Linked DNA regions of Alligator mississippiensis. The protein of the gene in region 1 binds, or shares a complex with, the protein of each later gene. Links are inferred from orthologs where the notes say so. Each region holds a gene or a part of one and is shown on either strand. Other genes may lie near its edges. The genes, in order: PLXNC1 and SEMA7A.

Evidence for each region.
Region 2: the proteins of PLXNC1 (region 1) and SEMA7A are in contact, whole or in part, in a crystal structure (PDB 3NVQ), measured with the Homo sapiens proteins. The link is inferred for Alligator mississippiensis from reciprocal best matches to the Homo sapiens genes PLXNC1 and SEMA7A. Residues at the interface, in NP_005752.1 of Homo sapiens: Arg131, Thr151, Glu152, Val153, Asn195, Pro196, Ala197, Ala198, Ser199, Asp200, His201, Thr203, Ala206, Lys208, Arg213, Ser214, Leu215, Ala216, Thr217, Gln218, Glu219, Leu220, Arg222, Lys224, Glu272, Ala350, Ser352, His353; in NP_003603.1 of Homo sapiens: Gln194, Tyr196, Asn197, Gly198, Lys199, Arg202, Arg204, Tyr213, Ser215, Asp216, Thr217, Gln270, Gly271, Gly272, Glu273, Ser274, Ser275, Leu276, Val278, Ser279, Lys280, Pro372, Thr375, Glu376, Phe378, Gln379, Asp382, Arg383.

What each region holds. Positions count from the first base shown.
Region 1 is NC_081827.1:88,306,961-88,322,848, reverse strand, and holds the start of PLXNC1 (plexin-C1), read right to left. Parts: upstream 6,969-15,888; 5' UTR 6,885-6,968; coding exon 5,949-6,884; intron 1-5,948.
Region 2 is NC_081834.1:41,941,702-41,957,736, forward strand, and holds the start of SEMA7A (semaphorin-7A), read left to right. Parts: upstream 1-7,205; 5' UTR 7,206-7,266; coding exon 7,267-7,378; intron 7,379-16,035. UniProt on the Homo sapiens protein: Plays an important role in integrin-mediated signaling and functions both in regulating cell migration and immune responses.

The DNA.
Region 1 (15,888 bases):
GGAAGTCTGCTTTAGATAATTATAATCACATGGTTTCCTTATCTTAAGAAAAAAAGTGAATTGACCTTTCCTTTTTCAGTACATCACAAGATTACAAGCTTCAACAGTTGGGATGTGTAGTGAGTTTTGGTTAAAGCTGAGAACTGAGGAAGTCATGATCTGCTTTAAGATTTGATTTCCATGACCACCATCATTTTTTCAGAGTGCATGCAATGCAGGGAAACCAAGTTATTCTAGGTGCCTTGCAGAAGTTATTTAGACCCTGGAATTAAATAACCCAACCACTAGGAAACACTATGGTAACTGTAAGTGACTTTAGATCAACCTCTCCGACTGACCCAAGAAGCAACACCAACAAGTTTGACAGTACCAGCTCAGTTCTTCTGGTCAAAGGCGGCGTCAGAGCTACATCACTTTTGTGTAGCTAGAAAAAGGGGAAACTGATTAGCTAGGCCATCAAAACAATCAACCAAAAAATGCTCAGAACTCTTTTGCAATCTATTTTCTAACTTGCCCACTCTTCAGGATGTAGCAGCTGCTACTCCTTTCATCGTTCCCACCCTTTTTAATCACACGCATTTATATTTTAACCATCTCTTTTACTCATCTACTGTGACTAATGGGGTTACAGCACTGCAGGACCTTCCCAGGCCTCTTCTGTCTTAACCAAAATGTGTTTTGATTCATTTACAGTCTAAGCTTCCTTTATATGGTAGTGGTCACTCTTTCTTTTCTTGTCCCTCTATCCTGTCCAACATAGCAGCTCATTGTAGTTCTTCAATCCCATGCTGCTCAAGCTTCTCTACTTCCAACCCCCCCCCAAACCCCCTCCCCACAACCTAGATGTCTCCTGAATTAATTTTGACCCTGCATTTCCATCATTTCTCCCTCAAACATATTCTATTTGTGATTTCTTCCCCTAGGAATCCAGCTGCTGTTGCTTAATTTATGCCTTTATTTTCTGCCTTGATTTCATTTAAATACTTTTTGATATAACCTCCTGGAGGTCAGGACTGTTTTTCCCTTTTTGTGTGGCAAACTTATTGCAGCAGATCATTAAGTACAGATATGGAATCAGATCCTTAGAAGGTGTAAGAAGCAACAGCTCCACTAACTTTCATTGCAGCAGTATTTATTTACAGCTACCAAGAACCTGGCCAATTATTCTACATTTCTTTTACTGCTCTGCAGTCAAACAAGGTCAACATCATGTTCTCAATGTAAACTAGCATCAAGTAGGCAACAGATTCCCTTTCCTTGAATATAATTCATTCCCTCAAAATAATTAACTAGTAAACATTTCCACTTAGAATTAGCTCCAGGTAAATCAGAGAATTAAGTTTGTTGTCCTAAGCTAAACATATTCTAATTATCCCCATGAAAATTTCAAAGCTGGACTGTAAAAAAAAATCTGTCTAAAACATTACCCATAGTTCCCCTCATAGTACAGTAGGAAATGAAGCAATCCAGCCAGGACTTACAAGAAATTAATAGCAAAGGACAGTATTTGGGCAATGACATGACTGGTTTTTTACTGAGTTAAGAACTTGGAATTTGCCTTTCCTTCTAACTTAACTATCCCCACCCATCTGCTGCATGATTTCAAGGAAGTTAATCCTTGCTTCCACAGTTCTTTAATACTCTCTCAAAAGTTTCAGGCAAAAACACCTGGTCAAGCCAGATGGCTCAGAGCTACTCTTTTGTTGAAAACTGATTATTTGAGAGCTTACAGGACTCCCGTGGCTTAATTCCCACACCAATAGAGACATACTGAGAAATCATCACAGCTAGGGACAATGTTGGTAATTTCCTATAGCAATGTCAAGTTAAATATATTGGCTATGGAAGCCTATTCTTCTGTCAAACAGCAGATGTAACACTGTCAGTCTGGTAATCTACAAAGGATAACTAGGCTACTAAAAAATTCATTACAGGTACAATCCTGACTCCAAATGGCTTTTCAACAACTTAAAAATCTTTCCTTGAAAACAAAAGACTTTGACTCCTAACAGACAAGCTATCACACAAGTGAAAATGTCATACCTGGAAGTTAAAAAAAACAGATTCTCCATTCACGGTAATGGGTGCTGCTCTACCAATTCCAACACTGACTTCAACAGACCCGTGCCAATTTATAGTAGCTAAGAATTTCACTCAACGTTCCCAATTATGTCTCAAATTCAGGGGCAGGCACTACACATCACCAACACATTCATTTCCAAAGAACATACGGGCAAAAGTATTGAGAAGCCTACAGTTATATGGGCAGAAGCCTACAGTTATAACTCTGTGGCTGTATTAAACAGACAGCAATCTAATAAGGGCTTTTCTCATTCAGTATTTACTACAAACAATGAGACAGTAATATTTCATGCTACCTTTAAACCCAATACTAACACCACAACACAAATTATGTTTGGCAAGTGCTGCAATGCTGCACCAGGCAGCACATGCACACAAGACTAGGTCTGGCAAGGTGCTGAGAAATTTGGCCTCACTCCAGTAAAGCACTAACATCCATGCTTAACTTTCAATACAGAAGTAATTTCTTTGAAGTGAATGGAACTGCTACTGCCCATAAAGTTAAGAATTGGCTTAAACTCTTTGCTGGATAGCACACTGAGCAAGATGGATCCTTTGCACGTTAATCAGAACCACAGCACCTTTGCTGTGATTAACAGCAATCAGGTGCTGGCAACAATCAGCAAATGAAAACAGCAATGTGTATATGGACAAAAAAGATTCATATCCAAGGCAGGCAGAGAGAGCTGCAGCATGAGACTACTATATGTTCTTTCTGAAGGCTGAATTTACACCAAAAAAGCAAACTCAGACCCTGCATCAGGGTGGATAAAAATCTATGATTTAAAAAAAAAAAAGATTTTTTATTTAAAATCAGTTTTATTTAATCATACTTTTTATTTTTAAGAGGCTTTCTTTAAAAAAAAACCCACATAAATATCGTTTTAATTTAAAATATGTTAAAGCTCAAAGATATCATGATGGAATAGGGATTATAACTTCTAATTACAGTATATATTAGTTGAGACAATATATTCATGTAACCTTAAATAGGTCAAAACAGGCCATGGACTATATTAGGGGCTCAATCTCATGGAGTTCTCAGAGGCTCCTCTATAGATTACTAAAGATTCAAGAAACCACTCTACCCAATGGGACTCAGTGCTCAGTCTAGAAGATCCCATTAAGCATTTTCTATGATTTTCTCTCTGTGATGCTTAGTTTCAGTTCTCAGACTGGATTTGTCTCTCCAGAGATAACATTCCTGTTAAGAACAGCATATGCAGATAAGAGATAACAGACCTGATTACCTACCCATTGACCCTCTTGTCTCTCTGCAAGTTTGTGTACACAAAGTCAAGCCACTACCTTTCTCTGACAGTGCAAAGTTTCAAGAAGTTAAATGAATAAAGGATTTCAAACAACAAGAATGCATTTTTGTAGAAAACCATTATTAAATCGAGGCTTCCTGACCAGTGATTTAAATCATGATTTAAATTGATTTGATTGAAATCAAATCCATCCCACCCTGCATAAATATAATGTATTGTTGTGTCCTCATTAACACACCTGCACCATCTTACACCATCTCATTCAGAACATGAATAGTAAAGATCACCGGGACTTATAACATGCATATTTATGTATGAGAGCTTTCTGGCAGCCCTCTGTTCCAATGAGTCCCCAGAGTTAAAAGTTTTCTACACCTCCATTTCCAGGTAGTGATAGCAGTACAATATGTTTGTTTTGCCATGACTGTAGCCAGATATAAAGAGAGATTTTTAAAAGGGCTGGGGTGTAAGCTAAGTTTAAACTATCGCTGCCTGCTCCATTTCTACACATCTGTGATGCACCTGCTGATGTGTTGTGGCACATGGCTCTCCTTTATGACTGCTGCAAAGTTATTGAAATTCTACGTACGGACTGCCAGGTTATGCATTTCGTGTCTGCAGATTTTGAACCTTTTGCTTTTTTGACTCTCTCTCTCTGACTTGCTTTGGAAGCAATTTTTATACCCTTTCATAAATGGGTAAGAAAGGAATACCATTGGGATAAAATAAAATAACAGTAGTCAGGCAGGCATTATCCACCTAAGCTTAGCAGCCCATCAGGATAGTGTTGGATACAGCACACCGGTTTCAGTAGCCAATGGTACACAAAGGAATGAGGTGGCTAGCAATGACATTTGTGCACCCCTGACTCTCCTGCTCAAGCAACCAAATACCCATTTACTTCAGCTGGGTCAACTGAAACTAGCCTTTCACATGAATCCAAAGCACAGCTCCACTTCATACCTCTAGGGCAACACAATATTTTAATCACCGTAGGGGCACCCTTCTTAATACTAATAAAGAACAATTCTTATTTTTTTACAATACTGTATGGACGTGGATACAATTTAACACTGCTGCATTTTTGTAACACAATCACTGATATTGTTTAAATGAATCTCAGGGTCCTTTCCAAGTTATGGGCCTGGTATCTAAAGTCAAGCAGTGATGGTAACTCTACTTCTCAAGGAGTTCCAACCAACATAACAGCATTGGTCAGTGAAGGACGGGTTATAATGGAGAAAGGGCACAAAGGCTGCAGAATCCCTGGTGCTTGGAGGTTGCCAGGGCTCTCTTTCTGGAAGCCAGGTCCCCTGTGGCTGTCCCCATTACTTTCTCAGCCTTGTTCTATTAGCCACAGCCCTCAGGATATGCATGGAGAGAAGAAGGTCAGGGTTTCTGACATGAGGAGTGGCCTTGCAAAAACAGCATCTCATTCTGAATTAATTTTTCAGCTGATTTCCTCCGGTTGCCAGGAAACAGCAACCAGAAACTGCCACTCCTACCTTCCACTCCATGTGTGAATGCCTAACTGTTCAGAGGGTGGAGGCAATAGCGTTGCATGGGGACGGGGGAGGGGGCTGATTGGGGCTCTCCACAGGATAATTCAGGTATGCCTCAGGACAGCCACAAACAATACAACTATTCCCACAGCCAACACTTCAGTAGCCAGTGGTACACAAGGGAATGATGTATGCAAGGGAGCCCCAACAACCCTACCACCCTGCACTGTTGCTTTGTCTGTCTCAATCTGTTTGTGAGCCTATGCTGAAGCACAGAGGGACTAGCAGCAGATACAAGCTATCTCACGCGCATGGAAAGCATCAGGGAGAGAGCAGGAAGCCTGGCGCATCAAGTTTCTCTTTGGCATCACCAGAACACCTCTTAAGGCCCGTGCTCAAGGTTACATATCATTCTGCAACCAACTGGTCACCTACACAATAAACTGAAACTGCAAAGGAAAGATCACACCATGAACGGGTGAATGGTGCAATACATTCAGCCCGGCCATGTGTGCAAAGGAACGAATACCCACACAATAGAAGGGGCAAGCCCACAAAAAAAGAGCTGCAGTACAACTCTGCAGCTGGCTTCTTCCAGCTGTCAGGTAGGCAGCTCACTGCACCTCATAGAGTCATAGAGAAGTCGGGTTGGAAGGGACTCCAGAGGGCACCTAGTCCAACCCCCTGCCTGAGGCAGGGTCATTGCCATCCCAATCATCCCATAAAGCCATAATCTAAACTCTACACATGCCTACCCTCAACCCTAACACAACACAGACATTACACCTGGAGCAGCCACAGGTAAAGCAGGGGAACCATGAGAGCCAACGTCCTACTTCTATGAAATGTTGACCTCGACCCATCTGGCTTTAATACGAATGGATAGTGAGGCTGTTCTGCCCCATGTGGTGGGGCACACTTTATCCCCACTGCCTGTTGGCTGGTGCCTTACACTCACGCGCAGCCCTGCTGAAAGAGAAGCGGGGCAGAAGCCCCTCTCTTCACATGAAGGAGCGCTCGGTGGAGCCAGGCCTGAAGAGGCCAGCCTGGCTCAGCCCCCCGGAGCCCCGAAGGGAGCAAAGTGCAGACTCACGCAGCTGGTGGGGCTGAAGTCAGAAACACATTTCGGGCTGGCGTCCCGCAGGAACGCCAGGTCGAAGAGGCAGAGCGCAGTGTTGTCCCAGGCCGGTGCGGCCCAGGCCGGCCGCTCTGTTTGGTTGGCAAAGACGGCGGCCCAAAACCCTTGCTGCGGCAGGGTGCTGGAGGCCAGGATGTGGCTGCGGCAGCCGCAGCTCAGGCGCACCTGGCTAGGTGCCTGGAAATGCCGGCTGGTGTTGAGCACCACGACGCTAGGCGGCCCATGGGGCAGGCGGTAGTAGGGGAAGAAGAGGTGATCGTGCCACAAGAAGGCGTCCACAAAGTGCAGCGGCGTCTTGTTGTACTTGAGCGGGTCGAAGCTGTCCATGGGCATCAGGTTCCCCAGGTCGCGGATGGTGAGGACAATATTGGCCTGCGAGGTCACCAGGCCGCAGCTGAACTGCCCGTCCAGCGAGTAGACGGCGGCCACGGCCAGGTAGTCGCCCGACTTCTCGCCCCCCGGCCAATGGAAGACGACGCCGGCTGTGGAGCCGCGGGGCAGGCAGCTCACCACCTGGCTCTGGTTGCCCTCCACCTTGAGCCCGCGGAGCAGCTGGCAGCTACCGTGGTGCAGCGTCCAGCCCGCGAGCAGCCGGTCGGTGCCGTAGGGCAGCAGCAGCTTGCTGTGGGCGCCGGCAGGCTGCGCGCACTGCCCCGCCGGGCCCATGTGCAGCACGTCCCGCGCCCCGCGCAGCGCCGGCTCCAGCTCGTACAGGCAGCTGCCGCCCGCCGCCAGCACCGCGCCCGGCCGCACCGCCAGGCTCTCGATGTCGTGCGGCAGCGCCAAGCGCCCCGCCAGCAGCGAGCCCCCCGCCGCCGCCAGCGCCAGCAGTAGGGGCAGCGCCGGGGCCAGCGGGAGGCCGGCCGGCCACCCCCTCCCCGCCCGCCTCATGCGCTCGGCGGCTGCCGCCCCGCTCCGCGCGCCTGCCGCCGCCGCTGCCCCATGGCTGCGGGAGGGGCCGCGCTGCCTCCGCCGCGCCCGCCGCCTGCGGGCGGGGAGTTTCTCCCGCGGCGGGGCCGGCAGTGGGCCGGGCTCCCGCCACAGCCCGCTCGCTGCTGCCGCTGCCCGGGGAGCCCGAGAGAAGGCACCTGGGCGCAGCCTCGCCCCCCCTCCAGTACAACGTGACAGCGTTTCAGGGGCTGCTCTCCCCGTGGCGGGCTCGGGGCAGCTTGAGGTCGGCTGAGGCCCCTTCCGGCCCTGGGACTCACGGATGGACTCTATGATCAAGTGGCCCCGGGAGTGAGTGAATGGTTGCTGAGCCACAGTTTCCTCTGAGCTGCCTGTCACCTGCTTCTTTGATCACAGATCCCCAGCTTGCCCCGGCAGCATCTGTGGCAGGGGTGGGCAAAATGCTGCCCGAGGGCCGGATGTGGCCTGCCAGGCCATTCTATTCGCCCGCGGGGCCCCTAAAACATTTAGAAAATTAATACTGATCTGCCCTGAGCTTCCTGCCAAGCAGCCCTCTGCCCACAATAATTGCCCATCCCTGATCTGTGGGGTGCTTGCCCTCCATGCCCAAGTTGGGACTTGCACTGATGTTTGGCTGTGGCCTCCTACCCTTTGCCGCGATCAGCTTTGGGTGAGCCTGTCTATTCTGGGAGCTGCCAAATCCAGGCACTTGGCTAATTTTAGTGAAGTGTAGAATGTGAGAGGAGGAGGGCTGGCACAGACCGCCAGGGGTCATCTAATCCAACCCCCTGCCTGAGGCAGGATCATCCCTATCCAAATTGTCCTGTGCAACCCATCATCTAAACTCTACATAAGACTACCTTCAAGATAAAACTGAGCTCCAGCTGCTGGGGGCTGCAATAAAAACCCATAAGCTGAAGTCACATAGAATTTGGACCCTATACACTAACCAAAGTAGATTACATTTCTTTCGTTCTTTCTTCCATCTACTTTGGTAGTTATATATATCTGTAGCACAAAGCTTTGGTGAGCTGAAGCTCACTTCATCAGATGTCATGGAACCATAACAAAGACCATCTTCCAAACATGGGCTGAGGTTATCTCCAGGGTCTCTCCAGGTCAATCTTCTGGCCACTCTAAAGTTCCCTTCCTGATGTAAGGTGGCACTGAACACGGTATTCTGCATGCCCTGTCTCGACCTGGTCTGACATATTCTGTATGAGATTAAATTCTCTTTGGAGACGCCTACATTTTGGTGGTGAGGACAGCAACTCTTCTTTAGTCTTGCCATCTTTATGACAAGTCCCACTGGGATCTATAGGAATTGATATGTCATTGGGCAATGGGGTCTCAGCTAGGACCTATTTCTATAAGGTATTGAGCCTTCTCAACTTCCACTGCAATCATGGGTACAATTACGTCCTAGGCCTGGGTGTCTAGACCAATGGTTCCCAATCTTTGTTGGACCATGGCCCCACTGCCAAGCCCTGGACCTATCTTCCAATCACCTTGCAGCTGCAAATAACATCCCCCCCCCCCCCTTGCTTCCAATCCAATCTGCAGTAATTGAATTCTTCTTGGACTCTGAGTGGAGTCACCTCAAAATGATTCTCTTAGTCACTTCACTACTATCTCTCTGGTGATAACAGAAAAAGAAACCAGTTTTAATTCAGATCATCACACCATAAAAGGTTTTTTCAGCAAGTCTTCCATGGCGATATACTGCACCTCTATCAAAAAAGTTGCATTTCTTTGGTGTAGAACAAGCATGATGGCAGAATTTCTTGCTGTTCCTCCTGACGCACAAAAAGAAATCTAACTTCTCCAAACTATATGTTTGCATAAGCAAATGTGCAATTTCACTGAAATTAACTGTGCAGAAAGAGATAACTTGTTGAATATTTTTTTCTCCTGGGTCACTTCCAGTAGGGACTCAGCAAAAGCAGAACCATATTTTACATACTCAGCAAGCAGCAGATAATCTATTTTTGCTGAGTCCTAAATAAAATGTGACTATGCAAGGAAAAAAATCTTAATGTTTTCTCCTGATAGAGACTGGAATCTCCTAGTGGAGGCAGACATAGGGCTAACTTAAATAAGAAAGTGCATGTTTAGAGTTGAGGCACCAGTTATTCTAAAGGTCCTTTTCACAGCTAAATACCATATAGTAGCCTATATTTAAATGAGAATCATGCCCTATATTCACATACAAGAAGTGTAACATGCACAACAGATTTACATTTCTTTCCTCAAAGACCACATCCAGTAGCAGTTGCTACATGAGACACTTACTTTTGCCCTGGATCTGCAGGTTCAAGTAATCAGAGCCCCTGACATATTTCATTCCCACAGCCAGAACCCTCTATTTTTTATACTCCTTCATAGGCATTAACTGAAAGAGTACGTACAGATCCTAAAAAATGCAATGTAATGTGATGGAATTGTTATCGGGTATAGCTTGTCTTCACACTAGAGATGCAAAGCAAGCACGCTGCTTCTGGTGAAGTAGTAAAGATGTACTCTTGTACAGAACTAGGCTCTTAGTCAATATGTAAGCATTTTTTTTTGGCAAGCTGATTTTGCTGAAATACACTGCTTTTGCAGTGCGAACTTGGTTGAACACTTGACACTTAACACAACACTGACTTCGTATCCGCTTCTTGGTTTAGTTCAAGGTGTTAAGTTATGAAGCTGTTTGTAGTCTAGCTTTTGGCTTACTTGACCTCATGACATGAGGCCAACAGTGAACTTTACTAACTAATCCTAGTTTCACATCTCAGTGCACAGGTGGGAGGCTACATTCAGCAAACGGACAATATCTCTAAAAGCTGTTCTTCTGTGGATTTCTTAAAAGCTCAAGTGCATTGACTTGCAGGGTATGTCTCCAGTACCATAGCAAGGGAGGGGCAAGTGGGGCAACTGCCTCAGATGCCAAAGCAAAGGGGCACCAACAGGCACCAGCCAGGGCAGGGCACAGGACAGAGCTGCGAGAGGCTTGTTTGGGCGGGGCGCAGGGACATGGAGGGGTCAGCTCCCACCACTGCGTGCACCCCCAGGCAAGCATGGGGGGACGTGTGCCCCTTGGATCTGTGTGTGGGGCAAGGGTGGGCTGCTGCTATGGGCTTGCCCTGGGTGCCAAACTTCCTTGCTATGGCACTGTATGGCTCATTTATTTATTCCTCTTCTTGTCTAAAGTAGGCTACATTTCTTTTATCCAGAGGTTGTTTTGGACAACTGACAGATTGTTACAGTGAGCTTTTGCTCCTTACTGCAAGGTGCTGCCAAACTCAACTTCTGTTGAAGTTTTGGAAGTCTACAGCTATTGAGGGTGCTCAGGCCTCCCTCAAGAGAAATGGAGCTGGATTAAGCTCATGCTGAAATTGTGGAAAATGAAAATGAATGTACTGAACTAGTACTTTATATAACTAGGTGCTGTACTGTGCAAGTGATTGTAAAATATTTTTACTGGCATAAAAGTAATGAGAGGCAGGGCAACTGATGTATGTTTACAAAATAAATGTAAAATTACAGATATTTTTACTGCATTTACTTCTTTATCTGTACAATATAATATTTGTTCTTAAGACTATGGTTTCATCCAAAATACTACTTCATTTTCACTTTCCATATTCCTAAATCCTGTGGAGAAATCTGCCAAAGTAGAACCAGCCTGTTTTATGTTGCATGTTTGACATGTTGATGGCCATATCTTGAACTCTTTACTAAAGCATAATTCCCAGTGAAGTTAACAAATTATTGAGTTCCCATTTACTCCTGAAGTCTCCTCCTGTGAAATCTGAGAGCAAAATGTAACTCAGAGTTTTGCCTGAGTGAGAACTGAATTAGGACTCCAGGACTTGATCCTATGCATGTGAGATAAAGTGAAGTGAGACCTCTTCTTAGTTTCCAAATACTGATTCCAGATTCCATAAACTGTGTTCATTAGCAGAGGAACATATCTATTCACTTCAAGAGAAGTTAATGAAACACACCAAAGAGTGTCCCTTGATTATTTAAAGGAGTGGCTCCTGAACTTTTTGGACCAACCGGCCTTGTTTTGCAGCAAGACTAAGACCTCCTATTGCCTAATCAGTCTGTTTCCCCTACTGTAACTCCTTCATTGTCAAACAGAACACTTCTTGAGTTAACATTTTACACAGTAATGTCTCTCTATCCACAACTCAATAGCCTTCTTTCTCTCTTCCTTATTGTTCATTTGCATGCCAAATTTAGCAGAGTTTAGGATTTTATAGAGGAACTGCCCAAAACAGACACCACCAAATGTAGCTTAAGCTTGAGAACTCTACATTCACTTTAGAGTGCCCCTGCAACTGCTCCTGAAATTTTAGATTTGAATGTAGTAGTTGGTTGTTTCTGGGCTTTCTCCTTTTTTTCTATTTATCTACAGTAAGGAAATTCCAGGTATATATAGAGTCTTCTGTGACCTAAAAGAATAAATTCAACTATCACAAGCTATTTAGCACTTAACTATAAAAGTTCTCCAAATAATGCAACTGCGTAAAGGAGGTCAGTGCTCTAAAGTGAAGAGGATGCTACCACAAAGTCAAATATTTATGTACAGTAGATTTCTGTAGTTAACAACACTGCTGTGCATTGTTTGAGAAGAAAGAGGAAGGAAGGAAGGAACAAGTTTTCAGCCCATCTAAGTGACACTAACCATTCTGAAGGACTGACCAAAGAAATCATGAGCCCAAAGCATGTTTTCTTTAAGCATTTCATTTTTTTTCTTTCTTTAATGTAATTTCCTTATCAAAAGTTTTTGTGGTATAAAAAAGGAGGAGCAACTCGGAATTTCATGCAGAAAAGAAATAGCACTTTCCCCTCTGCTCCATGGAACTAAAATATGCTCCTCCTATTCTAAGTCACAAACTGACACTGAGAAAGAATGCACAAAACCTGAATTCTATTTCCAGCTCTGCTACAAGCGTGTGTGTGACCTTGGACAAGTCCCATAACTCAGTGTGTCTCCATTTGCCTTCTCTTTGAGTGGGGGATAACAATATTTTCTTGTGTGCAAAATATTATTGCAGAATAAGTAGAACTTGCTTCAAATGTTGAGTTTTTTATGAAGGAAAATGAGTTTGTACACTGTTCTGTACATGTCCTTTCACAGCTCAGGCTCACAAAGACTTATGCTTTATATCACTCTGACTTAGTTAGTCTACAACATGCAGTTCTACCCCCTCCTTTTAAGAGTGACCTGAACTGTTGCTCAAGCTCTGTCTATAGTCTTCACAATCATAACAACATTAATGGGATGTGTGAAATCAGAGAGGGGAATCTGACCCACTTGAAGTTTTGCTTGTATGAGAATTCAGTAAAGATTTCAGGACTTGAGCTTATATACATGAGTTAAAAAACAAAGGAAGATCTGTTCTTAGGTGATTTCACGTTGCTGCCTCAGTTGCCTCCTTTCTGTCTCCTTTTCTCTCCTTTGCATGCCAATGTCATCAATATTAGGCTAATCTTTAATAATGTAGGTTACTGGATGAGTTTTTCAAATGCAGCCCCTGCACAAGATTTTAGTAAGCTTTAACTCTATGAAAAATGTGAAAATCCTGTATTATTCCATTATTAAGATCCTTCATGACAAAGAAAGGTGTGATAATAAGTGCTAAAATTCTTTAAGAGCCCATTTTAAATTAATTTTAACTCTAACAGATTTACTTGTAAAAACTCCAAACACTCATTCAGTATTCAAGGTGAGAGCTGTAAATTGGAAAATAATATACTGTAACCTTCATCCCTAAAGAATAATGCCTACTTTAAAGTCCAGAATTTAAGTTTATCGATGGAATTGTTACTAACACTTGCATAATGGAATTCCACAGTAAGTGCCTCCATAATAAGAACAGGCTGCCTATGGAAAAATCAAAATCCCTGTTACTGTTCTTTTTTTCCTGTAATTTCCAAAAGTAGTTTCACTGTTCTACAAGCTCATGACCTTTGTAAGTATCCGTGGCCACTTATTTATAGTTCCAGCATTTAAGTGTCATACTTAATTGACCCACACTAATATTGCATAATTTGACACATTATATCATTTAGTAGTCAAATCAGATTCCAAATACTGTGTTCATTAGCAGAGGAACATATCTATTCACTTCAAGAGAAGTTAATGAAACACACCAAAGAGTGTCCCTTGATTATTTAAAGGAGTGGCTCCCAAACTTTTTGGACCAACCGGCCTTGTTTTGCAGCAAGACTGACCTCCTATTGCCCAATCAGTCTGTTTCCCCTACTGTAAACTGGCAGAATGACTTAACAGAAAAAAAGCTCACCGTCAGCAGGCTCTGTCTGGCAATACTTGATTTTATAAACAAGGCACAGAAACAAGCTAATAAAATCGGAAAGTAAATTGAAGACTCCTGGAGCCCTGTGTTCCCCCAAAGTGGAACATGATCGTCTCAAATAAATTATTTCCACTTAAACTTCCCAAGTGCCTTCCATAAAGGCTTTTCCTAAGCAGGTCTACACAGCCAAAGGCTGAACTGAGGTTAACTCCTCATATGCTATGCTGGATAGATTTTATCATATTGTGATTGAAGATCACACGTTTCCCTAACTTCACTTCCCCTTTTTTGTTTTTGTTTATGAAAAAAATTACAAGGAAACAGACTGTTAGGATCACACAGAATAGCCTAAACCTATAAGATATTAAGTTTTTGAAGAGTGGAGTCTAAAAATATTCTTTTCCCGTTAAGAAATTTCTAGTAATCATAGAAAAAGATGGAAAGATGAACACATGACATATGAGAAAAACAGCTTCTATATGGAACATTTTTTTGAAGTTTTCCAGGTAACAGTTGCCTTTTAATGCTCAGTTCTCTAAAATTACTCTCCACAAAGGCAGGACTTGGTAGTTTCTCTTTCCATTAGCTTTAATTAAAGTTTACTTAATTTAACCAGAGAAGTTTCAGTTGTGTTTTTAAAAGATTATGAAAATACAGTTTCTGTCAAGTGATCCTCTCAAAGTTCACCCACTGAGTTAATAAAAGACCCAAGATACTGAAGTTACTGCCTGAAATGATTTAAATGAATTATGTTTATTTTAATTTTTTATTTCATTCAACACCATGTGTTAATACTGCAGTCAACATTTCTTTATATGCTGTTTCAGCATTGTATCTGACGGAGGCAGGAGGTGTAACTAATTAAATGTTTTTCTTTTCCTTTAAAATAATGTTTTTTTCATAATGAAATGAATTCAATAAATGACCTGAATGAGACTGGCAACTGACACAGTGATTTACCAGGAAGCCTGTTTGGAAGAATTCACTAGCAATGTTAAAAGGAGTCTTCAACCTAAATTGACTTAGATCAGTGCCATCTGGAATACTAATTCCCTACCATTTTATTGAATCCCATCTCTCAGTGGAGTGGCTATACTGCTTCATCTGCCTCTCACTCTCCCATATTTTCTGGCCTTTATTTATTTTTTTCTTATATCTTTTCCCCCCCCCCTCTATATTTTTATTTGCATTTGTTTCTCTAGTTAACTGTGCGTGTGTGTGTACATATATATGTGTGTGTGTGTAAATCTACATCACACACACACAAACACATGCACAGTTTCCTGCTTTGCTCTTCCCCTTCTCCTGGGAATTGTCTATGTCACAAAATGTTACCAGACTCTGACAAGTGCATGCTGGTATCTCCATTACCCCACTTCCTGTAAGTCTTGCATATTGCCCCATACAAGCACTGGGAGTTAAATGGTGACTCCATATGCCCTCATAGGGCTTCACAAGAGCTGGGAATGGAAGAGACATTTGGTCCAGTGGGAATCTACCATGCAATATTTTTTCTATTGCATCTTTGATTGTCATAACAACAGACACAAGGAAAAAAAGGAACATATTAATCTCTGAGAGCCACATACTCTCTAGCTTATTTTCTTCCTCCTGGCCCCACTTATCTTTCACTCTGGCCTGCCCCGGGCGCCAATGTCAAAATCCCTGAAACTGAAATTTCAGGAGAGCTGAAAAAGGAATTGGATAACGCCTGACCCATGGTGTGACACTTAGACTACTCTTCTAGGAAGTTGGTGAGACAGGTTCAAACTCCAACAAAGGATGTGGACTAGAAGCCAAGTCTCCAGGGGTGTTGATACATGTGCTGGGGCAGGGAAGGCATTTTAATTAGAGAAGCTCCTGGACAGCCACTCTGATTAAAACACTGCAGCATCACATGTATTCAGCGCCCCACATTTCAAAATGGCCATGAAGGCACTTTAACTAAAGTTCATTGGACGAGTTTCAGTTAAAGCACCCCGCCACCATTTTGAAATGTGGGATGCTGAATACATGTGACACAGCAGCACACCAGAGTGTTCTAGGTAGAATGGTCCGGCAGACTCGATTAACTGAATCGGCTCTGATGTATTTTAATTAGAATGCATCAGAACACATGTATAGGTACCCTGCTTTTCTAGGTGGGTGCCTTAACCACTCAGTTATTGGGGCTAAAATGCTAGAGGCCCCACCCTCCTCCATCTACTACCAGTGGGGTTTTGTCTATCTACAATTCTGTGACGTGTGTGTGTACTCCAGGTGTGCCTATGTAGCTGTATACATGCCTGGCCACCATGTACCTACTGACCATTCACAGCAGCTGTTTAGTTGTTAATGCATGCACTCATAGGAGTAATAGAATTGCAACCTGTGCATCAATGTCACAGAGGTCATTTCCATTACTGGAAAACTCCCATTTAGGCATACAAAGGGTAATAGAATTGCATGCCATGTGTGCATGTTTTGAAAGATTGAATTTTTCCATATTCTCTTACTCAGTTAATTCATAAAATAATCCAGTCAGAGACTTTTTCCCAAATAATCCAGTAGGTCTTTTAGTGATATTAAGTTAAAATTTTTACCATTCAGTAACTGCACAGACTTAGAACAAACAACTTGCTGTAGCACAGTATGCAATGCTAGTTTTCTGAGTGTGTTGTGAGGCTTTCTAT
Region 2 (16,035 bases), on another chromosome or scaffold:
GATCGGCAGAGGTTTCAGTGCTGTGTGGAGACTTCATTTTTCCAGTGGTCACTTCCATTTTTTTGCCACCAGCGCATGTTGAGCAGCAAAGAAAAGGAGGTGACATCTCAATGTGCGGCTGCTGCTGCTCTGTTCTACCTGCATCCAGCGCTACTGCAGGAAAGGTGCAGGGTCTGTGTGTATGGGAGGAGGGAGAATAGGATGAGGTACCCTCCTGTCTCTATTATGGCCCCCCCACTCCTTAATGCCTCAGGCCCATGCCATCCTTGCTCACTCATCATTACGTTACTGCCAGACTGCATGGATTTAATCAACATAGCATGTCATACTTGCATGAAACCAACATGTGAAGCTGTAGGGTTTTTTTAAGGGAAAGGCCAAGAGTCAATTGATGAATGGCCATTTGAGTGTCTGGTATCTTCAGCATGTCTCAGTTCCTGTATTTCTGCTTTGATAATGCAGGGGGAACTCAAGCACCTGGCTTATCTGGTTTCGGGCACCTCGTGAGAAAAAACAGTTTGGAAAGAGCAGGTTGCTCTGCTCGGTGTGAGCATTGCATTAGTTCCATGATTTTTTTTGACAGCTGAGCTGTGACCATCACAGCAGGATGGTGATTTAGCACAAAGTCCCGTGATCTGCCCAAGCTCTGCATAGCTGGGGAAAGGTGAGTGCAAACCAACTCTACATTTGCTTGTCTTGGGACAGCCCACAAGCTGATCTGGTCCCCAGTTGTCAACCCTGTAGGGCTCAATATTATATTGATGTCTCTGGTTACAAGAGACCATTGTCATAAATCGGGGACCCCTTTTCCAATTCACATCCCATTAGGATGGAATAGCTGTGCGTTGGCCCAGCCTCTAACCTACTAATTCTGAGGCTAATAAAAACCATGGATAGATATTGGTGATAGGGCCAAAACCCAGCTTTTAATGGAAACTGGCTTTTCAGTGCTGTAAAGTGCTTTGGCATCTCTCAAGGAAAGGAACTGTAGTCCTTAGGATCAGTCTGAAGGCAGAACATTGTATGGGACTTCAATATAGGACTTCCACCTCACCACCCAGCAACTTGGCTGATAGGTGTGGTTTCCAAACCATGAGATGCCAAGTTTTATCCTTGGGTGAAGCCTTGGGTTTTGTAATGTGGCCTAGCACAGTAAGAGCAGGAGCAGAGATCAGGTCTATTTGTACAGCTGGAAACATGGGCCTCCAAAGGGCAACTCAGTAGCATCTCAGCTGCTGTTGCTACTGGCTGTTTTAAGTTTCTTGTTCCTCCTGGCTGCAGTTACTTACTCCTTTCTGACAGGGGTGGCCAACCTGTGGCAGGTGTCCACAAGTGGCACAGGCAGCCTCTGTGTGTTACACATGGTTTAGGAGCAGGGAGCAGAAAGCAGAGCAACAGATCAGGCCGAGGAAGGGGATCAGAATTGCACGCAGGGAGGGTGCAGGGTTTATGTTGTGCCACACCTGTCAGAAAGGTTGGCTCACACTGCCTTAGGGCTTTCTCCATTGAACTCATAGGGAAGACTTCCCTTACATGCACCTTGAAGCAAATGCTGCTTCTGGCCCAGAGTTAGCAAAGCACATAAGCTTGTGCCTAACCTGAAATCTGTAGTTAAAGGCCCATCAAACTTCATTCTCTCCTGCATTAGGCCTTCAGTACCCTGCTATAGGACCATGGGATGAGCTCCCTGTCTCTGATAACTCACCTTTGTGAGCTCCATGATAAAAGCTATTTCACTGTGCAACCAGCAGGGGACACTAGCCACAGGAAAATTGCTCTCAGCAGGGATTTTTGCCTAAGTAACAGAGTTGGTTTAATAAAAGATATCAGATTTACCCAAAGAACCTTGCCTGCCTGTGTCCTTAGACCAAAACGGCTACAACCAACACCCCAGGGTAATATTCTGACCCTCTCTCGTTGAACATAGGCAGGCAGATCAGGGACAGGAGATAGGTCTGCTCATAAGTCCATGCACAGATCTGGAGTGCTGAATGAGGGATTTATCACCCAGAAGAAAAAAACACCTCCACTGAGGAGAAACAGGACAGACGAGATTTTCAGAAGCAATGATCATTTGCATCTGAGAATTCCCCCTCCTCTCCTCTGGCCTGTTTAATTGCATTACAATAAAGGGAACCAAAACACATGAGCAAAACCCTTCTGCTTCATTAAATTCTAAAATCTGAACCAGCTGCCCTGGATTTGAGCCCTCGAGTTAAAGTTTCATTTTCTTAAATGTCCACAGAATAATTTCCCTCTGTAGACTGTTTCCTTGTAGTGTAGTTGAAATGTCATCGTCATGCATTATCATGAGTTGTGTGCGTCTTGCAAAGGCCAAGATAAAAATAGCAGATTTAGAGATGTCTGAACAAAGTTTTCCCAAAATATATCTAAGTTGCTTCCTGCAACCTTTGTTGTTTCCCTTTTATTAGTTTCTTTTCTTACAAGCAGCCAAGTGAAATATAATCAACAGGTAGACAAAGGCTCTTGCAAACAGAGAACAAAATTAGGGTAAAATAGTTTGGTAAGTTATACGGACCCCAAATTAAGCAGCATTGAGCCAATACTCAATGGTGTGGAACTTGAAATGGTCCATTCAGGCATTCAGAAGAAAGAAAAGGACGGATGTAAGCTACGTACTGGGCTAGTGTGGTTAAGGTACACCAGTTTCTGGTGCTAACCATTCTGTCTGACCATGACATCCCAGTCTAGGTGCCCACTTTATAGCTTGGTTGAAGGGAGAATGGCTTTTATGTCACAACTTGAACTCTTGCTTCTGGATTTATAAACCCACATCCCTCCACTTAGAAGAGAGCTACGTAAATCTATACAATGACCTGGAAATGAGAGCCTTCCAAAGAAGCAATTTCACAGTGACTTGTTGGAGGGCAAGGCTATACCTCCATGTTGTATGTATATGTGTGTGTGTTTATAAAAATAAAATATGTGTGTGTGTGTGTGACTAGAGATGGTCTTGGATTAAAACCCCTTGATCTGAACACTCTCAAACATCTATAGAATGTAAAGCTGGATATCACTGACCACAACCACCTACTCAGTGCTAAGATAAGAATACCTGGGTATTAAATGCTCAGATGCATCTAAGTCAGGGAAGAGCAGATTGCTGTTATTTTTATTACCAACAAGAGGAGAATCCTAGTTCATCCTGCATCCTAAAAATTCTCCAGCTACAAGTTGGTAGATTTCTTTAGACTGTGGAGCTCTGGAGCAAATTACCAATTACATCAGGTAAATGAGGAGTTACCCCCTTACTGGCTGCTCATGGGTCTTTAATGATTTCTCCTTGATTGCTCACTTAATCCACCTATTAGACTATTAGCTTAAATGTAATCCCATTGCTCTTCCAAAATTATTTGTTCCGGTGTATGACTTTCCTTTATTGGTCCAACAGGCTAATATTAGCACAAATTTTCTAAGACATTTTCCTGTTTATTGATACATTTTCATGGTCAATCAGGTGAGTCTGACTTTTGCAATGCAGTGAAAGTAATGGATGGCTTAGGTAATAGATTCATAGATGTTAGGGTCGGAACGGACCTCAATAGATCATCGAGTCCGACCCCCTGCATAGGCAGGAAAGAGTTCTGGGTCTAGATGACCCCAGCTAGATGCTTATCTAACCTCCTCTTGAAGACCCCCAGGGTAGGGGAGAGCACCACCTCCCTTGGGAGCCCATTCCAGACCTTGGCCACTCGAACTGTGAAGAAGTTCTTCCTAATGTCCAACCTAAATCTGCTCTCTGCTAGCTTGTGGCCATTATTTCTTGTAACCCCCGGGGGCGCCTTGGTGAATAAATACTCAACAATTCCCTTCTGTGCCCCCGTGATGAACTTATAGGCAGCCCCAAGGTCGCCTCTCAACCTTCTCTTGCGGAGGCTGAAAAGGTCCAGTTTCTTTAGTCTCTCCTCGTAGGGCTTGGTCTGCAGGCCCTTAACCATACGAGTGGCCCTTCTCTGGACCCTCTCCAGGTTATCCGCATCCCTCTTGAATTGCGGCGCCCAGAATTGCACGCAGTACTCCAACTGCGGTCTGACCAGCGTCCGATAGAGGGGAAGTATCACCTTGGACCTATTCGTCATGCATCTGCTGATGCACGATAAAGTGCCATTGGCTTTTTTGATGGCTTCGTCACACTGCCGACTCATGTTCATCTTGGAGTCCACTAGGACTCCAAGATCCCTTTCCACTTCCGTGCCACCCAGCAGGTCATTCCCTAGGCAGTAGGTGTGCTGGACATTTTTCCTCCCTAGGTGTAGCACTTTGCATTTCTTCTTGTTGAACTGCATTCTGTTGTTTTCTGCCCACTTGTCCAACCTGTCCAGGTCTGCTTGCAGCTGTTCCCTGCCCTCTGGCGTGTCCACTTCTCCCCATAGCTTTGTGTCATCTGTAAACTTGGACAGAGTACATTTCACTCCCTTGTCCAAGTCGCTGATGAAGACATTAAAGAGTATCGGTCCAAGGACCGAGCCCTGCGGGACCCCACTCCCCACACCCTTCCAGGTCGAAGCCGACCCATCCACCACGACTCCCTGGGTGCGACCCTCCAGCCAATTCGCCACCCACCGGACTGTGTAGTCATCCAAGTCACAGCCTCTTAGCTTGTTCACCAGTATGGGATGGGATACCATATCAAAGGCCTTCCTGAAGTCTAAGTATACGACATCCACCCCTCCTCCTGTGTCCAGGTGTTTCGTAACCTGGTCATAAAAAGAAACTAGATTGGTCAGGCACGATCTGCCTGCCACAAACCCATGCTGGTTTCCCCTCAGCATAATTTGTCCTGCCAGGCTCTCGCAAATGTGAGCCTTGATAATTTTTTCAAAGACTTTGCCAAGGATGGTGGTGAGACTGACTGGCCTATAGTTGCCCGGGTCCTCCTTCCTCCTCTTCTTGAAAATGGGGACCACATTGGCCCTTTTCCAGTCCTCCGGGACTTGGCCCGTATGCCACGAGCGTTCAAATTTTCCTGCCAGTGGCTCTGCAATGATGTCGGCCAGTGCCTTCAGAACCCTCGGATGGAGCTCATCCGGGCCTGCCGACTTAAACGCATCCAGTTCTTCCAAGTGACTCTGCACCATCTCAGGGTCTACGCATGATAGTCTGGCGCCCTGCTGCTGCCTCTCTACAACCCCAGTGAGAGACTTGTCTTGCCCCTCACTTAGGAACACTGAGGCAAAGAACTCATTGAGGAGTTCAGCCTTGTCCCCCCTGTCCGTCACCAATTGCTTCTGCCCATTTAGCAGGGGCAAAAGAAGTAAGTACAAGGCAAAACCAGAATTATAGTGCTTAAGAACAGAAGTATGAACACGTGCAACTTCCAGGTTTGCAAAACTGAAAGTTTTAGGTGCAAGCAAAAATTTAGCTTCTGGTTATTGTGCAGGACTGGGAAATGATGTTCATGTTTCATGCTGTTGAAATACGGTCCAGATTCACATGTAAAATCAGTCCTTTTGTGCTGCTTTGGCTGTGTAAAAGGGGCTTAATGAATTATATTTACAGGTCCTCAACTGGGTCCTTTCTTCTGCAAATGGCTTTAAAAGGATATCTGGAAATCTGTGAACTTGGTCTAGAAATGCAGCTACTTCTGGAGTGGAATGTAACAGCAGCATAATCATTTAAGGTTGAAATGGAAGAATGTCGTCTGAAAGTGGAAAAGGGAGGGCCTTTGCATCCCTTAAAATGTAATTACCTAACATGTTATTTGTAGAAAAAGAGATGGGAACAGCTTGCAAAGAAGTCTTTTGGGGGCTTAATGTTCAGACTTCAGTTGACCTTGGTTTTCCATTTACTGCAGGTGTTAACTTTCACTAGTTCACATAAGCAGGGTGTTCTTCATTACAGTTTCAATATTACATTTCCAGTGGGGAGTCTCATCTTCCATTCAGTATCAACCATACTTTGCCCAGATCAGCATTTCTCAACCCGTGGATCACGACCCAAAAACAGGTTGCAAGAATGAAGGGGTCAACAAACTTTAAAAATGGATCAAACTTTAAAAATGAATTCCCCTTTTAAAGGACAAAGACACAGGAACCTTTGGCTTTCTGCCTGCAAACTGGCAGAGTTACAGTCTGTAAGGGGCTGTTTGCCCCCACACACAACCCCCCACCCCACACACACTGGGGGGCTGGGGCCTGGGGGCAGTGGGTCAGGACTGGCCATCAGTGTTCACAAATGGGTCCTGGTACAAAAAACGGTTGAGAACCACTGACCTAGACAACAGTACCTAGCTCTCACAGTGAGTCCATCACCAAGCCTTTTATAAAAAAGATTGACATCACTGCCCCCATTTTCCAGACTAGGCAAGCTGAGGCATGGAGAAGTGAAGTGACCAAGGCAGGAGTAGAACCCAGGATCTCTGAGCCCCAGCCCAGTAACTTCTGCCTCCCCCACATAAAGCATCACCAATTTTAATTTTCAATTAATTTGATTTTAATTTTAAATTTTAATTTGCAATTTAATTGCAAATCTTACCAAATTTGGAGCTTTTTCTTAAAGGGCCAGACCCCAAAGTCATGCAAATGTATCAGATCCTTAGCTTTCATTAGGAACACTTTCTAGTGTTCACCTTCAGAAAAGTTTGACATACCTTCAAGGGCTATAGGGCAAAGAAAGAGAACCCTAAACATACTCCAGCATTGTTGGTTGTAGCCATGTTGGTCTGAGGACATGGGCAAATAAGGTTCTTTGGGTAGATACAATATTTTTTATTAGATCAACTAAACAGCTGGAAAAAATTGTTCTTTGCAAGCTTTTGGACACAAATACCCTTTTGGACACAATCAACCGTGTGTTTGTGTCCAAAGCTTGCAGAAAACAGTTTTCCCAACTATTTAGTTGCTCTAATAAAAGATATCACATCTACCTAAACATACACCTGAGTTTTAAATGCCTGGGATCCATGGTCCTGGAGAAGCAGGCACAGGGCTGTCAGGTGTCCCAAAGCACTGAGAAATGTCCTTTTTTGTGTCTCAGTTACAGCAGATCTCTCATGTCTGCAGCTGGGGTTGAGAGTCCATTGTTCACCTGGCTCTGGCCACTGAATCTGCAGTGAGGCAGTAGCTACTCCCTATTTCTCATCAGTACCGGTTCCCAGGGCTATATCTGATTCTCCAGTACTCTCTAAGGAGTGCCTTAAATTGCTCCTCCTCCTCTCAGCCCCACCCTTCACTTATTCAAATACTGTACACTAGCGCAAGCCTAGCAAAGGGCTTCTTCTGTGTTCTGCTTCTCTGAGTGCCAGAGATGGGTGCCAGCTCTCCAGCAGTCTTTGCTTTCACCCTGTGGACCAGCTACCTCTGGCTCCTGGCAGCTGGGCACTCCAGGGTGAACCCTAGACTCATTGTCCCTTTTCAAGGTAAGTGTCAAAAAGCATTTGTCTGTGACTATTGTGAACCTAGAAATGTACAAGCAGACAGTGTGATTTGCAAGAGAAGTAAAGAGCAAAGCTCTGCATTCTGAGCACTGCACACATCTGGATGTTATTTCCATGCAAAACCGTTATAGTGGACTTGGTCTTAATTTGGCTCTAGCTCTTCCAGAAAGACAGCCCTATGGAAAGGAGCCAGCCTGTCTTCTATCTTACGAGCTTTGTGATTTTGGTTTTTTTCCCTCTCCTAATATAGATTTAATCCCTCTGATTTTTTTTCCCTCCTTCTACTTTCTAGAGATGATCATTCACTTTCTTAAAATCATAGAAAATGAGGGTTAGAGAGGACCTCAGAAGGTCATCTAATCTACCCCCCTGCTCAAAGCAGAACCAGCCTCAACTTAATGAGACCTTTTTATTTTATGAGTTTTGTGATTTCCACCCCCCCATTTAATTTAATCCCTTTGATTTCCCCCTTTTTTTCTAGAGGTGATCATTCACTTTCTTAATGAGATCTTTATGTTTTATGAGCTTTTGTGATTCCCACGCAATTTAATCCCTTTGATTTCCCCCACCTTTATTTTCTAGTGCTGATCACTCGCTTTCTTAATGAGACCTTTGTCTTTTGGTCCATTTCCACATAAAATAATATACTTAGGACTGCCAATAAGATCAGTTCCTGAAGATTAACTGTTCTTGTCACACTGATACAAAAGAGGCTGCAGTTGTTGTTATTAATAATTATGTTTTATAGAGTGATTAGTTTCCTATTCAGCTGAACGATTGTGTCTGCTGTCTATGTATCAATTTGTCCTTGTAAATGCTTAGTTTAGATCTCTTCCTGTGGAGAAAAAAAATAAAACCAAGGTGAGTGGTGCATTGCCAGTGTAACAAGGAGATGGGAATATAAACTGAACAAAGTGGAAGCAAATGCCTTGTTTGTTAGAGCAGGTTATACCAGTGCATGCAAAGAAAAAGATTAAAGCATCTTTCAAGCTCATCTATCAATGTCAGAGGAGGGTGCTCCTAGGAAGCACTGCAGTGTTTCTGTTGTTTTAGCAGGGGCTGTGCTGAAAGTGGAAAGCTCTTGTGCCTTTGTGATACAACCTCCTGGCTCTTTGTTGAGTGAAGGGTATGTTTGCACCCTGCTTGATGGTCTGGTTCATTAGGGACCATCTGTTTATTCTTCAGCCACATGCTCTTTGTAATTAGTGCTGCTTAGAAGGAGCTGTAAACAGAGTATTGGGAACATGGGGTGGGGGGAGGATAGGCTGGGGGGGGGGGGGGATTGTGGCCTGTTATATTGGCATGGGAGATGAAGTCATTCAGCACTGGGGATCTGGGAGAAGGTGCCATTAGCATCATGCCTTTGTCTATCAAATTATGCAAACCTTAATGGGGGAGGGAGAAAGCCTTATACATAGAGGAGAGGGGAAAAACAGTTCCTGTCTGGGAAATGTAGTTTCTCTAGAGACAAATGAGTGAGTGATGTTCCTGTTAAAGGGATCTAAGCAGCAAAAAACCCTTCTCAAGCAGGAATCCTTGCAGTGGAAAGAGCAGCCTGAAGTGATCAGGTTTCTGACACCTGCTTCTTGCTCCCTATATGTACTTGTGATAGGGTTATTTAACTGCTTGTTTAATATATCTGTGCAGTAAGCCTGGCTTCCTGGCACCAAATGCAGTCTCCTGTGATCGTCTTCACTAATGAGTGATAAGAGGCTTTATGGCAAACAGACATGCTGAGGTCAATCTTCAGTACAATAGATACAGGACAGGGAGAGATCTCTTGGATTGTGGGGTGTGTTGGCAAAGGGCTGGGCTCAATCCCATTATCTAGTCCTATTAATAAATGTATCTAGTACTATCTTAAAATGCATCCCCCCTCCCCCCGCACTTTCCCTTTATACTTTTACTAACAAGCTGCGCCGGGGTTTTGTTCCGTTTCTGTTAGAAACGGGGCATTTCATGCAGCCCTTAAAGTAATACAGTTGGGTCTAGCTGCCTATTGAAATCCTTGGGGTCAGCATTCACTGAACAGCTGGGGATCCAATGATATGGCCTAATTAAAGATAGCACTGATGGGCTGTGCAAGTCTTGCTGCCTGTCCTCTTTCATAGCAAAGCCTTTGCAGGGGTAGCCTGGATGCCTGAGGAAAAGGAGGTCAAGGGGAGCAAAGCAACTGTAGTGGTTGATTGTCTCTCTCCTGGCTGCATTGCAGCTATTTAGGTGATAAGTAGTTTGGGGCAGGATCTGGCTTCTGTTTGGGGGAAATGCCTGGTAGGGTTCATCCCTACCTAATACCTGTATCCCTGACTTCACTGCCAGCATGGGGACAAAGCTACCCAAGGACTTTCTGGCTCTGGAGATGAAGGGTGAAACTCTCTGCCGGAGCTGCAGCAACCCCAGATCTTGCCAGCAGTGAGCTGTGCTCCTAATGCCATTTGCACATGGAGGGCAGGGCTGGGAGAAACTTTCCCTGCAGCTGCTCTTCTCCCCTGCTCTAGGGAGAGGGCTCTAGGCTTCTGGTTGTTCCTTTCCCCAGTACTGATTTAGTAGAGCTGCCACAGTACAGAAAGGGAGCTGTATCTATAGGAAGACGGCTCTAGTGTCCTCCAATATGGCTCTGGTTAGATGTGGGAGCTGTCCAGGTTGTGTCGGGATATAAACCGGAGTTGCTCTGTTGACTTCAGGGAGTTAGGCTGATTTCCTGGTCCCATCATCTACAGTGCCCCTGATATTAGTGATAGTGATGCTGTCTCCAGAGGGATCAGTAAGGGAACACCTCGTGTTGTATGCTGAATCCCGTCCTTCGCAAAGACACTGTCAGTGTTTATAGTCCCCCAGTATCAGATCCTTCCTTCTTTACCTTTTCCACCCCCAGACTTTCTCCCATTGATTAAATCTTTCCTCTTGTGAGATCATCCTACAGCCCTAGAACAGGGAGGATCATTAATCACAGGGACAATTTGCCTAATGATTGTGGTAGAGCATCTATACCTGGCAATTTGTTTAAAATCAAGAGTGGTTGCTTGTCTAGAAGAGGTGCTCTAGTTCAGATAAATCTTGGTTGGTCTTTCAGGCTATGCGGTGGGTAAGGCTAGACCGTGGCATCTGTCCCTTCTGGCTTTGAGCTCTGCATCCTGGCTGTTACTGCTGGGTGACCTGCACAGAGCTTTAAGGGAAGGTGCTAGGAGGAGGCACAAGGTTTTTAATCCAGTGTGGCATGCCTGGGACTGATGCTGCAGAGGAAGGGAGGGAGTCTGACAGGGTAAGGAGTGCAAAGGATCCATTGACTCCAGAAGCACAGGAGTGTGCTTCTGCCCAGAGCTTCTCCCCCAAATATATAGGGAACTTGGGAGTCCCAGTGCAGAGAATGGGAGGCTTTGTTTGACATGCATTCTCAAGGGGGGACGCTGGCTTTGGAAACCTGGCAGGAATAACCGCTTGTCTCTAAGGCCTTAAACCCACCCTGGTATGGGGCTCCAGGATACCTCACTTTGACCTCTTGTGAGGCTGGAGTTGAGCCTGACAGCTGTCCTGTTTGACTCCATCCTTTGTGCTGGGGTCAGGCTGGCTGGAGAGCCCTGCAGTGACCCAGGAAGGACTGAGAAGAGAGTCCAGAAAGCTTCCATCTAGTTTTCCAGCTCGCACTTAGATGAGCAGATCCATTGGCCAGCTATATCCATACAAAAATCCCTTAATTAAGAATCCAAGACACCCCCCGCCCCCCGACAGCAGCCTGCTTCTGAGTGTCATTAGAGCAGGGCACAGAGGCACAGTTTAAATGCTCCAGTGCAGAGAGGTGCTGGTACCACCCAGGCTGCCTGCCCATCACATAGGAGACATAGGGTGGTACGAGAAAAGCAGTACAGTTTCATGTTAGCTAGGGGGAGAGTTTCTCTGCCCCTCCTTGCCAGCTAAGGGAGGTCTGGTGCAGTTGACTCGCATTTCTTCTTGCAAGTACAGTGAGGATTTCTTTATTCCCAGGAAACTAGTTAGGTGAGGCTCTTGGCTGGCTTTCATTCAGAAAAGTTTTGAGCTGTCATAGTTTCAGCAGATAGCCTGAAAATGAGATTGGAATGCAGCTCAGTAGTATATAGCTCACGAGTTCTGGCCATAACACAGCGTTCCCTGTTTGCTGTATCATGAGATCTCAGTCTCATGATGTTGGGGCCCTGATTTTTGATGGTCATGCTGTTGGTTGGGACTAAGCGTTCTGAGTGATTTGATCTTCTTCTGACCTGCGTATTGATAAATCCAGTCCAAATAAAAAGGTCTTGGGTGGGGCTGTAATTCTGCCTTTATTATACAGTCCCTGACTGATGTGGCTGGAAGTCAATGGGGTGGACTGCCTCAAAGCAATGATCCTGTTTAAGAAAGAGAAGGAGTCCATTCCCAGCTGGAGTTGGCTTTGGGATTCCAAGAATGGCATGATTTCTGAGAGGACGAAAACTGGCCATTTCATCCAATATGGAAAGCAGATGGTTGTGAAACTGCCTGAAATGGAGCAGCCTGGATGTCAGCCTGAAATCTGGCTGAAAATTGCGTCCTGGTTCTGATACCATTTTGGATGAGCTGAGTGCCAGCTGGAGCTAAGAAGCAATGCCAACCTGTCAGGGCATAACATGGCCTGGCTGGGTATGTGCAAGTAAAGACCTGGTCTGTCATGCCTGGGGGTTGTCTGGGGCTCTTCAAATGGTTTTTGATGCCCCTTAGTGTTCTCCCTGTCTACTACAGAAGCCACCACAGCCCATAGCCTGGTATGTAGTTGGTGAACAGCAACTTGAAACCCAGCTGTCTGCTAAGCTTTGTCCTCCTCAGTTGTGGGATCAAAGGCATTTGAGCCAAGCCCGGGATCTGAGTATCCCTCCAAATGTGGAGGGAGCTCAGATTTTGCTTTGGATGGTGAAGCTCAGACTCGCTTCTAATGATTAGGGCTCCACATCTCCCTCCAAACATTTGGCATTAACCATTGTCAGGAGAATAGACAAAGGAGGCCAATGGGTCTCTTCTGGGTGCATTGAACCTCCCGTTGTCCTAGTGAAGGAAGATGCGAAGGTCTGTTGCAGACACCGTAACCCATCACTGGACAGAGATTTCAGCAGTCTCACCCTCTGCCAGTGTAGAAGGAAGTGTTTCCAAGCTGGTACATTATGTTCCTTTTAATATCCCCCTGCCTTTTGGCACATTTTAGAACTTAAACACTGGCCAGCTGGGCTTCGCTTTGCAAAAGGTACATTCAGATCCTGCGCTGAGCCTTGGCTCATCGGATCAGTCACAGGTTTACATTCTGATTCTGGCTTCAGAGACGGAGAGCGTTGAATGCTATGTGGGGCTGCGTGTGCAGGGCTGTTTCATGGAGCTGGGAGATGATGGCACCTTGTCCATGGAGCAGGGGTGTGGCTGCATCTTGGACATGGTGTTTGGTTCTCAGTGCCTCATGACTACCATGCCCATTGAGTATTTTAGAGATGGATCAACGAAAAGCGAAGGAGAGATGTGGGGCTGGAAGACCTGACCAGAGGTCACCCTCTTCCACCTGATCCAGTTGGGAAAATAGCTAGCTGTGGAGGGCTAGTCTAGATGCATTACAGCAGTGATTCTAGCCTCTTCCATGGAGAGACTAGTGGAGGGCTTTGCACCTCTCTAGCCAAGACCTCTCTCCCAGTTGAGCATCATGGGATGGCTCCCATGAGTGTCTTCTCCTGGCAGGTTTATGACCCCCATCAGCTGGTGACCCACCTAGGCTAAGTAGCAGGGTGCTGGAATTGTTGGTGATGATGGTTGGCTTTATTGACCAACATGCCTAGATACTACTGATGTCTGCTCTACAAATACAACACCAGCCCCTTTAAAATAGCTGCAGCAGGAGACATGAGCTGAGACACTCAAAGATGGTCCAGACATGGGTGTGGGATGGAGTAGGCTCCACAGCCACCGAAGGGCTCTTCCAGACTGATCCATTAATAGCAGGTATCGGCCTCCAGGTCTCTGTCCTACTCCAACGTCTCCTTTTTGTAGGCTCCATGGGGGATCACCTATGTGATTCGTAGCTGCCTCTGCTCAGGAGAGCTCTGTGCAACTCTCGACCCACATGAGGTTGGCAGGGCTTGGTGTCTGAGGGGTTAAACAGCAGAGATTGAAGAAACCCACATTTCCACACCAGCAGCAGATGGTCTCTGCCAATTTAGCTGCTGTTTCTTGGCCTGTGTTCCCTGTGGTACAGATCTCCCGCTCCATCTCCTTGTGCTCAGAAGTGCTTGGCCTGGCTCCACAAAGCAAGGGCACCATGGGTTTGCAGGGCGTGTATCCATCCTCCTGGGGCTGACCGATGTGGCTGGCAAGCAATGTGAAAACAGAGGGCAGCCAGAGCCAGGAGCCTGAGTCATGTTCCCAGTGCTGAAGGCTGCTTTTTTCTGCAATAGACTGCTGTGCTCCTCTGTTTGCCCAGGAGATGGGAGGTGAAGGGCATGATCCTTCCCTTGGGGGAGAGTTTGACCTAGGTGGCACAGAGCTTCAGCCTTTCTGGAAGTCCCTTTCCTGGCAGCAGTTGGCACCCCTCGGGGAAACCCCAGTGTAATAGGGCCCCCAATCAAAATATTCTTCCCCACCTCATATAGAGTTAGAAAATGAAGGGAGTGATTCCTTTACCCCTCTTGTGTTATAAGAATACAACAACGGAGAAGACTGGAAGGAAGTCTCAACATGTGGGCTGCTTCCCAGGGCACATAGGACTTGTAAACCAGGATCCGTTTCAAATGAAGTCCATGCAATCAACTCACCCTTGTTCTCCCCCTTTCCTAGTAGCCTGGTCTATATGGGTAAGTGCTCTGCTGCCAGTGTACAATCCCATTGCTGTAGAGATAAGTCCTGCATCACCAAGGGTGATTGTGCCAGCCTGCAAGGGACAAGCCACAGTTTCCCACATTTCTCTCCTTTAAAGAGAACTCATTTTTAAAGTTTGTTTGCAACCCTTTCACATATTCTTGCAACCCACTTTTCGCTTGCGGCCCATGGGTTGCAAAACACCAATGTAGATGTATCCTGTGACTGGCCCTACTCCAGCATCGTGACCCTTGCAGCTGCTGAACTAGAATTCGTATCCTCTTCCCCTTTTGGAGTGGCAGGAGGATCAGCAACCAGGCTCACACCAGAGGCCTGTCTAGATCACTGGTCCACTTCTGACCATAATCAGTGGGTGGGAAGTCCATGAAGATGAGTGGAACCCCATGAAAACCCACCAAAAAGTCCATGTAAGAAAAGATAATTTTTTTCCCCTTCTTCCAGAAAACTGAAAGCTGTTATATTCCTCTCAGTGAGTTTCACCTGCTATGAACTTCCCTGCTGTTTTTTGTTTTGTGGTTTGTTTGTTTTTTTTCTAAAAATCCCTGACCAGTGAGATCTCTCCAGGTCTTGGCCAGTTCCAAGGCAGGCTACTGAAGCAGTAAGATGCAATGTGCTCTCTTCTCCACCTTAAGAAAGGGATATGACCCTCTCCATGGCCCACTCCATTTCCCCTCCCACCAAGAATACCAGGCAGTTTGCCCTGTGCAGTGGGCTGGGAGGGTTTTTTGACCTGGCCTGTAGTTTCTGCCAAGGCTTAGTCTCATCCCATGACTTCCTTGGGAGAGCAGCCTGCCAGCAGCCTGGAAGGCTTCTTGCTTCCAAGACTGTATGGAAGTAACTGCTGAGACTTCAGGCTGCTGAGAAGCATATGCCACTATTAACTTCCTAGGAAGGAGTGGGTAGGTTACTTCAAACCCCTCTGTCTTGTATCAGTACTGTAGCAATCACACACAGAGTTATATGACTTGACCTGGAAAAGGTGTAGGGGCATGATCAGCCAAGGTGATGCCTGCTGGTACCCAGTGAAGTGGTGCTTACTGCTTATTTCCAAGCTGACTGGAGGGGTGGGAGGCCTGCCAAGTAGTCAGTAAGCGTTAAGCCCACCCCACAGGTGCAGACAACTTAACCACAAAAATAGGATGAATGAAACTTTCTGGTATGATCCCTCCCTAGTGTGAGCACTTCCTCACTGAAAAACCCTTTCTGTTCCACAGCTGCTCATTTACAGCTGAGTTTCTGAAATGCCCTTTAACCTTCCTGCCAGCTGCCCCTTGTAGCCACAAGGCACTTAGTGTTCTCAGCACTGCCCATCATTTCATATCCAATGTCATCACAAGTACACCGCCAGCATGGGGCTTGGCTGGTGGCCATTTTTTGCCATCTCCAGTACAGATACTGAGCAGATTTTCCCCCAATACATTCACATCCTTCTGCAGCTCCCACCTCCAACAGCAGTGATGGGATGCTGGCCTGTGCCACCCTCGTGTTTCAGTGGACTTTCTGGAACCAAGTATAAGCATTCCCAGCAAAAGGAAGATTCAAGGAAAGCAGATCTGGCCAGTTGTGCTGCCTTTCATCCTGATTCCAGGAAATCACTGTGGTTTAAATGGAAGCACAGATTCATTTCTGTCTGCTCCCCTCTGAATTGTCGCTGGGAGCAGTGTATCTGTGGAGACTGGCAAGGAGCTATTACTCTAGTACAGCTATTTTTCTAGTATTCATAGTCCAGCTACAGCCCACAGGTGGATCTAGCCTGTGAAACCATTGGATCTGGTCCATGAGTCCAGGGGGAGGAGGGG